Arabidopsis thaliana: one gene and its partner. The protein of the gene in region 2 purifies or fractionates together with the protein of the main gene of each other region. This does not show direct contact. Each region holds a gene or a part of one and is shown on either strand. Other genes may lie near its edges.

Region 1 (4,411 bases), on a different chromosome or scaffold from region 2:
ATATCTTCTGGCTTTGGTTTTTAGTAAATTTAAAAACATTGGCAAGTTGTGTTGTGTAAGGTAAGCCATAATAACAACACCCATGTATTATTTGTGTGTGTGTGTGTATATCCGGGGACTAAATTGTTTCTTTGTCCCCATTGGACGACATCGAAGAAAAAATATCACGGGCGTTTCTTGTATCAAGACAAATGAGACAGTGACGTTTACTTAATCCGAAATTGTTTAACCTAACACAAGTCCCACTCGTTGAAACTTGGAAACGATTTTTATACTAAACCAAATCATCAGATTCAATGTTATCACTCTATTTGAGTGTTGTTGTGTTCTGTCTAGTGAACAGTTACCGAGCAAGTGGCATGCGTGCGTGCACCGAGAGGCTCGGCTATTTGAGCCAACGGCTCTTATTTTTACTGTGTCAGTAAAAAAAATTAAAAGTTAATTACTTTTATCATCATCATCACGATTGGTACTATATACTCCATCATCAACCATCATGATCTTTGTTTGTCAGTGACTCATGATGAGATGACGCCAAATTACAATTTCTTTATCTCACTCACTTTTCATTAGACTCTTTACTCTTTTAAGGCTTTTAAAGACAAAACTAATAAAAGAGCTAATTGGGGAAATAACCACAATTAATTAACTAAAGCCACTCTTTTGGATTGATACAAGCATCTAATAGTTTCCATTCCTCAGTTCCTTCTTCAGGTTTCTGCATCCGCAACAAGAGACAAACACCATCAGTAGTTAAGTTTCATTAGCTAAGATGAAACAAGATTTAGTTTCTTGAATCAAGAAACTTTACATGGTCATATTCTCATCTCGCAGATAGCGGAAGAGAGACAAGGATACTCTCTATTCGTCCTCCAGTCTTCAGACCAAATGTTGTTCCGCGGTCATACACCTTTATTTTTACCATCAGCAACAAAACATGAGACGAGGTTTCAAGAGATATTTATACAGAAAGAAAAACAAAGCTAGTAGTATCCAATTACGAAGTTGAATTCAACATATCTGCCCCTTCGCAGCTGTTGCCATGCCTTGTGTTGCTCGTTAAATGGTGTGTCTTTACGTTTCTCTACTATGGGTATAGAAGCTGGTATCACTGAGCTTGCACATTCTGCAAAATTCATCTCAGTATTCAAATAAGTCAACTAGGAAGTTTCTTAAAACAAAATGTCACAAGTTATATCTTGGTCACTACCAGTGGCGAATGACAGAAGCATCTCTTGATCATAGTCATTCAAATCATCAAAAAATATCCCTCCAAGCCCTCGCCTCTCATCACGGTGCTGCAGGCAAGACCGTAAAGTTTTTAGTGTTTTCAAATCCTAGGCGACAACTTATCACTGTATCAACCTAAACAAAACCTTGAGGCTCTAAATCTATTCTTGCACATACATGACTCTAAAACTAAGGTCTTTTAGTTCCACAAAGTGCTAAGATCTCACCAAACAATCAGAATAGCGTTAAAGGAACTGCAGACCTTAATGTAAAAGTAGTCATCACACCATTTCTTAAACCAAGGGTAGAACGACGGATCAAATTTATCGCAGGCTTGCTTTTAAACCTACACAAAGAAAGATATTTCAATCAGCATCTCCATAATCACAAAGCTTCAAACTTTCAGAACAATGGATCAGGTTTAACGACCGAATGAAAGTGCTTGACGTCTTCTTCAAAGATGTAAGCAGGTGTGAAGTCAGTCCCACCACCGAACCACCATTGCCTCGGAGCTCCAGGAACATCTACAAGTGATGAAATCAAATGCTTCATCCAACCAAAAAATTGGAACTTTACACTTCTCAAAGAGGATTAAGGTCTTACCCTTTGGAGCATCGGTCTCGAAATAGCGGTAATTGAAATGCAGAGTCGGAGCAAAAGGGTTCTGAGGATGCAAAACCTAGAATGTAGGATCAAGCTCAATCAAAGAACTCAGAGACCATATCAACAGCAATGTCGACTGATAGAGAGAGAGAGAGAGAACTCACCGAGCTGGTTCCAGCGGCAAAGAACGGAATCGGACCAGGTTTTTGCTCAGACGTGGCAGCTTTAGCAGCTCTATAAGCTTCAGGAGGCATAACACCATAAATCACAGAGACATTAACTCCAGCTTTCTCCCATACATTTCCGTCTTGCAAAATACGACTGATTCCACCACCTCCACCGGGTCGAGACCAAACATCTTCCTTGAATTTAGGACCTTCTTCGACTGCTTCAATGGCTTCACAGACTTTATCTTGAGCAGTTCTTATCATTTTCTCGAAACGAGCCCTAACCGAATAAGAAGAAGATTGAGTTTGATCGCCGTCGGAGACTCTGAGGAAAGTGAAAGGTCTTTCTGTTTCCGGAACTTCTTTCTCGATTGAGACTGAGCATCGCAAGTCGAAATGTGGTCTCTTTACGGAACGAGGAAAGTGGTAAGTGAAGTAATTCGGAGAAGATTTGAGACGATGAGAAGAGAAGAGAATGAAGGAAGAAGGAGAAGTGAAGAGAGTCGAAGAGTGAGACGCCATTTTCAGCGATCGATCGAATCCAAGTTTTCACCTTTTTGCTGAAGATAGAAGATGATAAGGAATCGTCAAAGCTCTGTTTTTTTAACCAAACCAAACCCGGTTATTTCCGGTTTAGTTCAACCAAAAAACCTCATACTCGGTTTAGTTCTCTTCTTTATTTATCTACTCTGTAAGACTGTAACAGAGAGAACAACGTTGATCTGTTCCTTACAGTACAAGCAACTATTAAACATGGAATGATCTTTGTTTACTTGGAAAGCAAGCGAGTGAGAGAAGAAGAGTCAAAGACAGGAGGACTGCAAGTGAAGTGTTGACAAACAAGAGCCACCACTTTCTCTGAGTTTCTGTTCTTCTTAGCCATCTCAGCTACATTACTGTTATGCTCTTCCCAAAACTCGATTTCATCAGAACTAGAGGGATCTATGTGAATCACCTGCTCAGTAAAACCACCAAAAGTCACAAATCTTGAATCTAGAAATTTGGATAATTTTTTAAGCTCTTACCGTTTTATTAGGATCATAGACTGAATGTGCTGCAGAAAGCATGTTGGTAAGCTCTGGGGAAGACTTAGAACCAACCAATACAACTTGTTTCCTCGACGGAACAGAGATCATATCTGCGGAGCAGCACATTAATGGCACAGCCACCGCCAGTTCTCTTAACCTCAACTCAAAGACTGCCTGCAAAAACAACAACAAAGAGACTCAATAATCTCTTTCTATGAATAGCAAATGGGATTAGTTGTTTGTTTGTTTACCAGGAGACGATGTGCCGTGTTGAGGTAGGATTCAGCTTTTTCTCCGGCGACTATGGAAGCTAACCTCACAAGATTGATAGCAGAAACAGAGTTCCCTGAAGGTTCTGCACCATCATGATCTTCTTTTACACGAAGAAGAACCGATGGGTCTTGTCCTTCAGTATTGAAGTATGCTCCTCCTTCTCGGTCCAGATATAACTCATCCTAAAATGTTTTTAACTTTTTTAGCCAAAATCAAGAACTTTAACAAATCGAGCTAGTAAAGATCTCACTTGCCTGTGTTTCTTGAAGTTTAATCGCCCACTTAAGCCATTCGATCCCACCTCCATTCTCGTAAAGATCGAGTAAACCAGAGATCAAGAAAGCATAATCGTCTAAGAAGGCAGGAGCTTTGGATGGCCCCTGTCTGTAACTGTGTTGTAATCTGCGAGACTGCTCATCATAGAGATTTCCTCTGATAAACAAAGCTGCTTTCTCTGCAACCTCTATGTAATCCTCTGGCTGAAAAATGAGTCTTCTAATTACAAAACGGTCAAAGAAGAAATTAAAGGAAAGGGTGTAGCATTCATTACCTGACTATTCACCACAGGGAAATAATATTTGGTGCTTTCAGGCTCAGCCTTAAGAATCTTGGAAGCTCTTGCGAAAGACGAGATAACAAGACCGTTCCAAGACACGATTATCTATGAAAGAAATCTTAAATGGTTAACAAATCTGAAGAAACAGTAGAGAAGACAACATGAGAATTCCAAGAAGAGTATTACCTTATCATCTAGATGCGGCTTAGGTCGCTTCAATCTGACATCGAAAAGCTTTCTTCGGCATTCACCTAATATCTCCTGATACTTCTCAACAGAGAGGCTAAACTTTGATGCCATAGCAGACGTCTCATTTCTTTCGATCAGCACGTTCTTCCCAGCAAATTCATTGTGCGGGTCACTCCTGCTCGAAAGATCGCAGTTACCTGATTTCTTAACATAATAATGCTCCTTGAAAAGATCAGCATTCTCCCCGAGGACTTCATCAATCTTGAAACCAAACACACACGCAAAACAAATGTCAGTATGCAGAGGGAAACCAGAGTCAGCTCATGAATATATCATATATCAGAGAAAAGAACCTCATCGCTTGT
Region 2 (5,239 bases):
GCTGAATTGATTATAGATCGCTTTATGAACCAAAGACATTAACAAGGTTCAATTATTGGATAATATATTGTGGATGATACCTACACTAATATAAACTTGTGCATCAGTGGTTAGGTGTGGGGTCAGTGTCGGTGATAATCCGGTTGACGTATTAGATGATAGTTAACATTATTTATCAGAAACATTCGGGGAGGGTGACGACAATAGTATATAGTGTTCAATTTATATTTCTCCGTTTTCATTCTTAATAAAATAAAGCTTACAAGTGGTGGGATGATTCATGAAAGCAAATACGATGAGGCAATGGTGTGACTATATTTTATAAGTTAAAATTTATATGTTGTGATTACATTTGACTTTTAAATCATATAAATTATCTTATCTATTTGTTTTTCCAATTTGCTCTTTTCTTCTTTAACCAAAAAACCAAAAAAAAAAAAAAAAAATTGCTCTTTTCTTTTCATTTGATTCTACTATAGGCCAATTAAAGTTGCTGGTTACCGCAATAACGCGGTACGTTTTTCCGTTTGTAGTTAATTCGGTTTATAATCCAGAAATCCGAACCGGAAAATTGAATTAAACCAAACAAGAGGGACTCCTAACAAGTCTGATTCAGGTTGAGATCAGAGACTTCTCTTTTGCGTTATCTTTTGCAGTCTATGATACAATATTACAATCTACCTGGTTTCACATCGAATGTTGAGATCACGAGAGAAGACACACCAGATACAGAGATCTAGAAAGAACCATATGAAAAAAGTGGGATAACAAACATAGCAAAGGTTTGAGATTAACCAGATAAATGAATGTTTGGTTAAACTTTAACCAGAGTCATATCTCCAAAAGAAGCAGCAACATTTGAAGCCTAGGAGCAACTCAATACATTGTTAAACGTTAAGCAGAGCTTGGTCCAGAAGATTGGAAATCCTCAAGCAAGCCAAACAAAAACTGGACAGCTTCGCATATATCTCATAGCAAGTTACCAACTCTAGCATCGATTAAGGGTCAGACATGGAACTTTTTCTCTCATTCCTGCACCAAGTTTAAGAGATTCAGACATATGTTCACAAAACTTAAACAGCAAATTCTTCGGCGTAGGCACTTGTCTAGTCACCATTTCTCAGACAACCAATTCAGGTTCAGCTTTTTCTGCAGGAACATGATTTTGGAAAAGTGTTTGGTAATCCAAGTTTCTAGCGGTTTCAAAGAAATGAGCCACGGCTTCCTCTGGTGTCCCTACCAAGACACCGTGTCCTAGATTGAGAATATGCCCTTTTGGTCCAGCACACTTCACAACTCTGACACAAAACATACATTTCTTTCAGTTTCTTAATTTGAATTATAAGCACTACTTTTTTATTCAGCTGAACAAAGTGACCTACCTTTCAATTTCTTCGGTCAAAGCAGGAAGCGGAGAGAATAGGTAAGCTGGATCAACATTTCCCTGCACACTTACCTCGCTTCCCAATCGCCTCCTTCCATCAGCCATATCTACAGTCCAGTCAAGTCCAATAACATCAGCTCCAGTTCCTTTCATTCGCTCAAGAAGGCCACCATTTCCATTGATGTAGAAAACTATCGGCGTATCTGGACATCTTTTCTTTACAGCATGTATGATCTGGCGAGCCCAAATGGCAGAAAAAAAAAACGTTAAAACGCGAAAAGAAAATGTTTCAACTTTCAAGTAATCAAGTTGAAAGCATTTAATTGTACCTCTTCAATGTATGGTTTGGACCAGCGCTCCCACATCTCCGGAGTCAGTTGGCCACCCCAGGAATCGAATATTTGTATGCAGTGAGCTCCGTGCTCAACTTGGTAAACCACATACTCGGTAATGGCCTTGGTTAAATGAGATAATAGAGCTCTCAATACATCTGGTGCAGTGTGGCACATATTCTTTATGACTGTATATGTTCGAGTTGTTCCTCCTTCAACAATATATGTTGCAATTGTCCAAGGCGCTCCAACGAAACCCAACACCGCAGCATGTTCCCCAACCTTTCAAAACAAGAATCCATTTTCACAAACTGGAAGACATTTGGTCAAGTCTAGGGGAAGGCTAAGAAGAAGAAGAAAACCACCTCTCGTCTCAAAATCTTGAGAGAATCTCCAACAAACTGTAGTTTCTCGAAATCAATGGGATGTAATCTCTTCATATCTTCTTCAGTTCGGATAGGAGATTGGATTACAGGACCTTTTACCTCTTCAATATCAAAAGGGACACCGAATGCAGGTAAAGGGGTGAGGATGTCAGAGAAAATGATGACACCGTCTGGTCTGAATGCTTGCCAAGGCTGCAAAGAGATTTCCACTATTAGATCAGTGTTCTCTGATCTCTCTCTGAAGGACGGATGTTTCTTGGCGAGCTTTTGGTAAACAGCCATATACCTTCCTGCTTGCCTCATCATCCAAGCTGGAGGACGACTTATGGCTTGCCCTTTTGCAGCCTTAACCAAAAGTGGATCTGATTACACATTTTGAACAAAATGTGTAAATGTGAGAAAGCTTCTTTAGACTTACAAAAGTATAAGGCTACAGATTCATTTATCCTGATTAGCTAAATTTCAAGTGAAGTGACCCAAAACTGGAAATTTCAATCTATTCCACAAGCTCACAAGCGAAAAAAAGAGCATTTCAAGGGCAACATTCATGCTCAACATCTAAACTCAGGCTTAATTAAAAATATGACATTCCAATGAGCAGCTAGTAACCCGAATCGACTAAAATCATTTCAATATCAAAAAGCATAAATCATTATGTACCGGAAGAGGAGGAGGAGCAAGCCACTACGAACTTCCGAGCAGCAATACTGTATCTTTTTGGGTAACAAACCAATCCCACATTGATGGGATTCGATCCAAATCCAATCGGAAACGATAATCCCGAGGAGTAACATCTGGACGAGCTACAAGCACTGTCTACAACAGAATTTAGCAAAAGCAAAGTACTAAAATTGGCATAACAGTAATCGAAAGAACAAAAATTGGAACTTTATCGGACCTGGTTGGCGATGATAAGCTCATTTTCAATCAGAGAAGAACCCAAGAGTTTGAAGATCAAATGCTTTCTGATTTTGCCCGCTCCTTGGGCCGGTCTGGTTAGATATTTCCTTATCGCCGAGGGGAGACGAGAGAGATGAGATTCAAGGTTTGACCTTTTTAAGTCAATCACTTCGACGGCTGTAATGATGCCACGTATGATCTATCTGGATAATACTAGGACCCACCTTCCGGATTTCTTTGTTGCTTCTCCTTTGGCCTTTGGGGGTAATATTTCCGGTACGATTCGCTGGTTCGGTATTGAGCAATTTGATATCAATTCAGATTGATCGGTTAATTGTCACAGCAGAGTGTTTTGCGCAGAACAAACACAATTCAGATTCTGTTTTGCACTGTGAGATGGATTCAAATCGATCGGTTGATAAATCATTAAGACATTAACCGGTTCTGTTACATTCAGTTCAGATACCGGTTCACTGTGATCCTTGTTGACCAGAAAGACAATGTATGAAAAGTTGAAAAAACCGAAGAAACATTAAGGAACTGTTTATTTTTAATTGTGATCTTTCTTTCTCCACTGTCTCTGGTCATATATCAAGCAAGTAAGGGGTGTTGTCTTGGTAAATGCTCGAGCCGTGGAGGCAGCTTCAGTGTTTTCTTCTTGCAAACAGATTCAACCTTGTCATAGAGAATAGTGTAGTTGTAACTACTGATGTTTCTGAAGTAACATTGGTCACTTCCAACATAGTTATACACTTGTTGTGTGCTTCCATATCCACTGACCACTAAGTTATTCTTCACCACCATTACTCCTTGCCCTTCTTGCTTGTTTTCAAGCTTGCTCTTAAACGTTCTCATCAACCCTTTGTCGCTCTCTGATCTCTCCTCGTTGAATGCCATCGAGACATTCGCTACCGCCAGATATGTGTTATTCTGCTGCTCCAAAGTGTCAGAGTCGAGGTAAAAAGGAAAACTCTTGATAGATTTCGCTGCGTAGATCTCTCTGGAGGCTCTCTTGGCATGAATACGATCATCAGCTTGGATCAATTGATCTATGATCTGCAAGTTCCCATCTTTACCTAAAACCATCTTGTTCTCGTAGCTAAATTCTTGATTAGCATTAGTTATAATGTCCCCATGAGAAGATTTAACCAACCCAACCGAAGTTATCGACCTCTTTGCTTTCGTGGTGAAGTTTCCATTCAAGCCTTTAAAATCCGAGACAGAGCTAATCTCCAGAGAGCTTCTACTGAAATCCAACACCTTCCCTTCAACAATCTCCTTCTCTTGATCCAACCAAAGATGCAAATTCGCATCAATATACCAAACATTCAAAGCATTTGTAACACTAAACCCCACCTTATGAGTCTTCCCATCTAACAAACTTCCCAAGAACGGCGTGATCTCGATATCGTAACTCGGCAAATCAAAAGAGCCAATAGCAGTAATTGGTCTCCAAAGCAAAGGATTAATCCCACCGGTGAAAACAACAGGGAAAGGCCAAACAGCACCAGCAATATCACCGTCAAGACTAACCACAACTTCTCTAAAAGGTCCATTACCAGCAACACTAAGATTATTAGCAGTAACATAGTCATTAGGAAGATTTCCATACCAAAACTCATCATTCTCATGAAAAGAAACATAAACCTCAAGCACAGCTCTATAAACATTCCTAGGAATCTCAAACTCCTTATACTTGGTATCATTCGAATTCACAATTTCAAACCACAATCCATCGTTCAACGGAAGATTTCTCGAAATCGGCAGGATCATATCAGCTTTAGAAGAGCTATAACCAGAAACATCTTGAAGATTACTTTCGGATTGATAGAAATGGAAGATGACATCAACATGGTAAACACCAGTATAGGTTTTATCGATAAGATTACCAAGATAAACAGAGAGAATCTGAGTCTCGTTTTTGACGAGCAAAGAGTGATACTTGGTCACATCTTTCTCGACAGACCAAACAATTCCGTTTGGTCTAGGCTCGGCGGTGCAGCTCCGGAGAATCTCAACGCCGTCAAGCCAAACACCGAAGATACGATCGAATTGTCTTCCTTGGCTGGTGGATTTGAATTCGAGGACGATTTTGGAGAATTCTCGAGAGGAGCAGTGAGAGGGGAGTGTGTAATTGGAGAGAACCGGTGGTTTAGCGTAGGTGTAGCCAAAGTCATGGTGGAGGATTTGATACGAACACGGTTGTTGAGCTGTCGGGAGATTTGGAACGGGAGGTT

Evidence for each region. Proteins that work in one complex are often made in the same cells at the same time.
Region 1: the proteins of HEME1 (region 2) and hemf2 fractionate together in Arabidopsis thaliana (co-fractionation; one large-scale study listed by BioGRID). This does not show direct contact.

Annotation. Positions count from the first base shown.
Region 1 is NC_003075.7:1,410,925-1,415,335, reverse strand, and holds hemf2 (Coproporphyrinogen III oxidase), read right to left. Parts: upstream 2,552-4,411; 5' UTR 2,523-2,551; coding exon 1,998-2,522; intron 1,910-1,997; coding exon 1,834-1,909; intron 1,755-1,833; coding exon 1,633-1,754; 3' UTR 1,577-1,632; coding exon of another isoform or gene 1,571-1,576; 3' UTR 812-1,570; intron 719-811; 3' UTR 554-718; downstream 1-553. Other genes in the region: AT4G03200 (catalytics), read right to left, coding at 2,770-2,955, 3,026-3,202, 3,280-3,483, 3,556-3,780, 3,852-3,962, 4,044-4,307, 4,400-4,411. UniProt on the Arabidopsis thaliana protein: Key enzyme in heme biosynthesis. Catalyzes the oxidative decarboxylation of propionic acid side chains of rings A and B of coproporphyrinogen III.
Region 2 is NC_003074.8:5,018,459-5,023,697, reverse strand, and holds HEME1 (Uroporphyrinogen decarboxylase), read right to left. Parts: upstream 3,238-5,239; 5' UTR 3,024-3,237; coding exon 3,001-3,023; intron 2,919-3,000; exon of another isoform or gene 2,915-2,918; coding exon 2,763-2,914; intron 2,465-2,762; coding exon 2,082-2,464; intron 1,999-2,081; coding exon 1,714-1,998; intron 1,619-1,713; coding exon 1,383-1,618; intron 1,299-1,382; coding exon 1,121-1,298; 3' UTR 552-1,120; downstream 1-551. Other genes in the region: AT3G14920 (Peptide-N4-(N-acetyl-beta-glucosaminyl)asparagine amidase A protein), read right to left, coding at 3,594-5,239.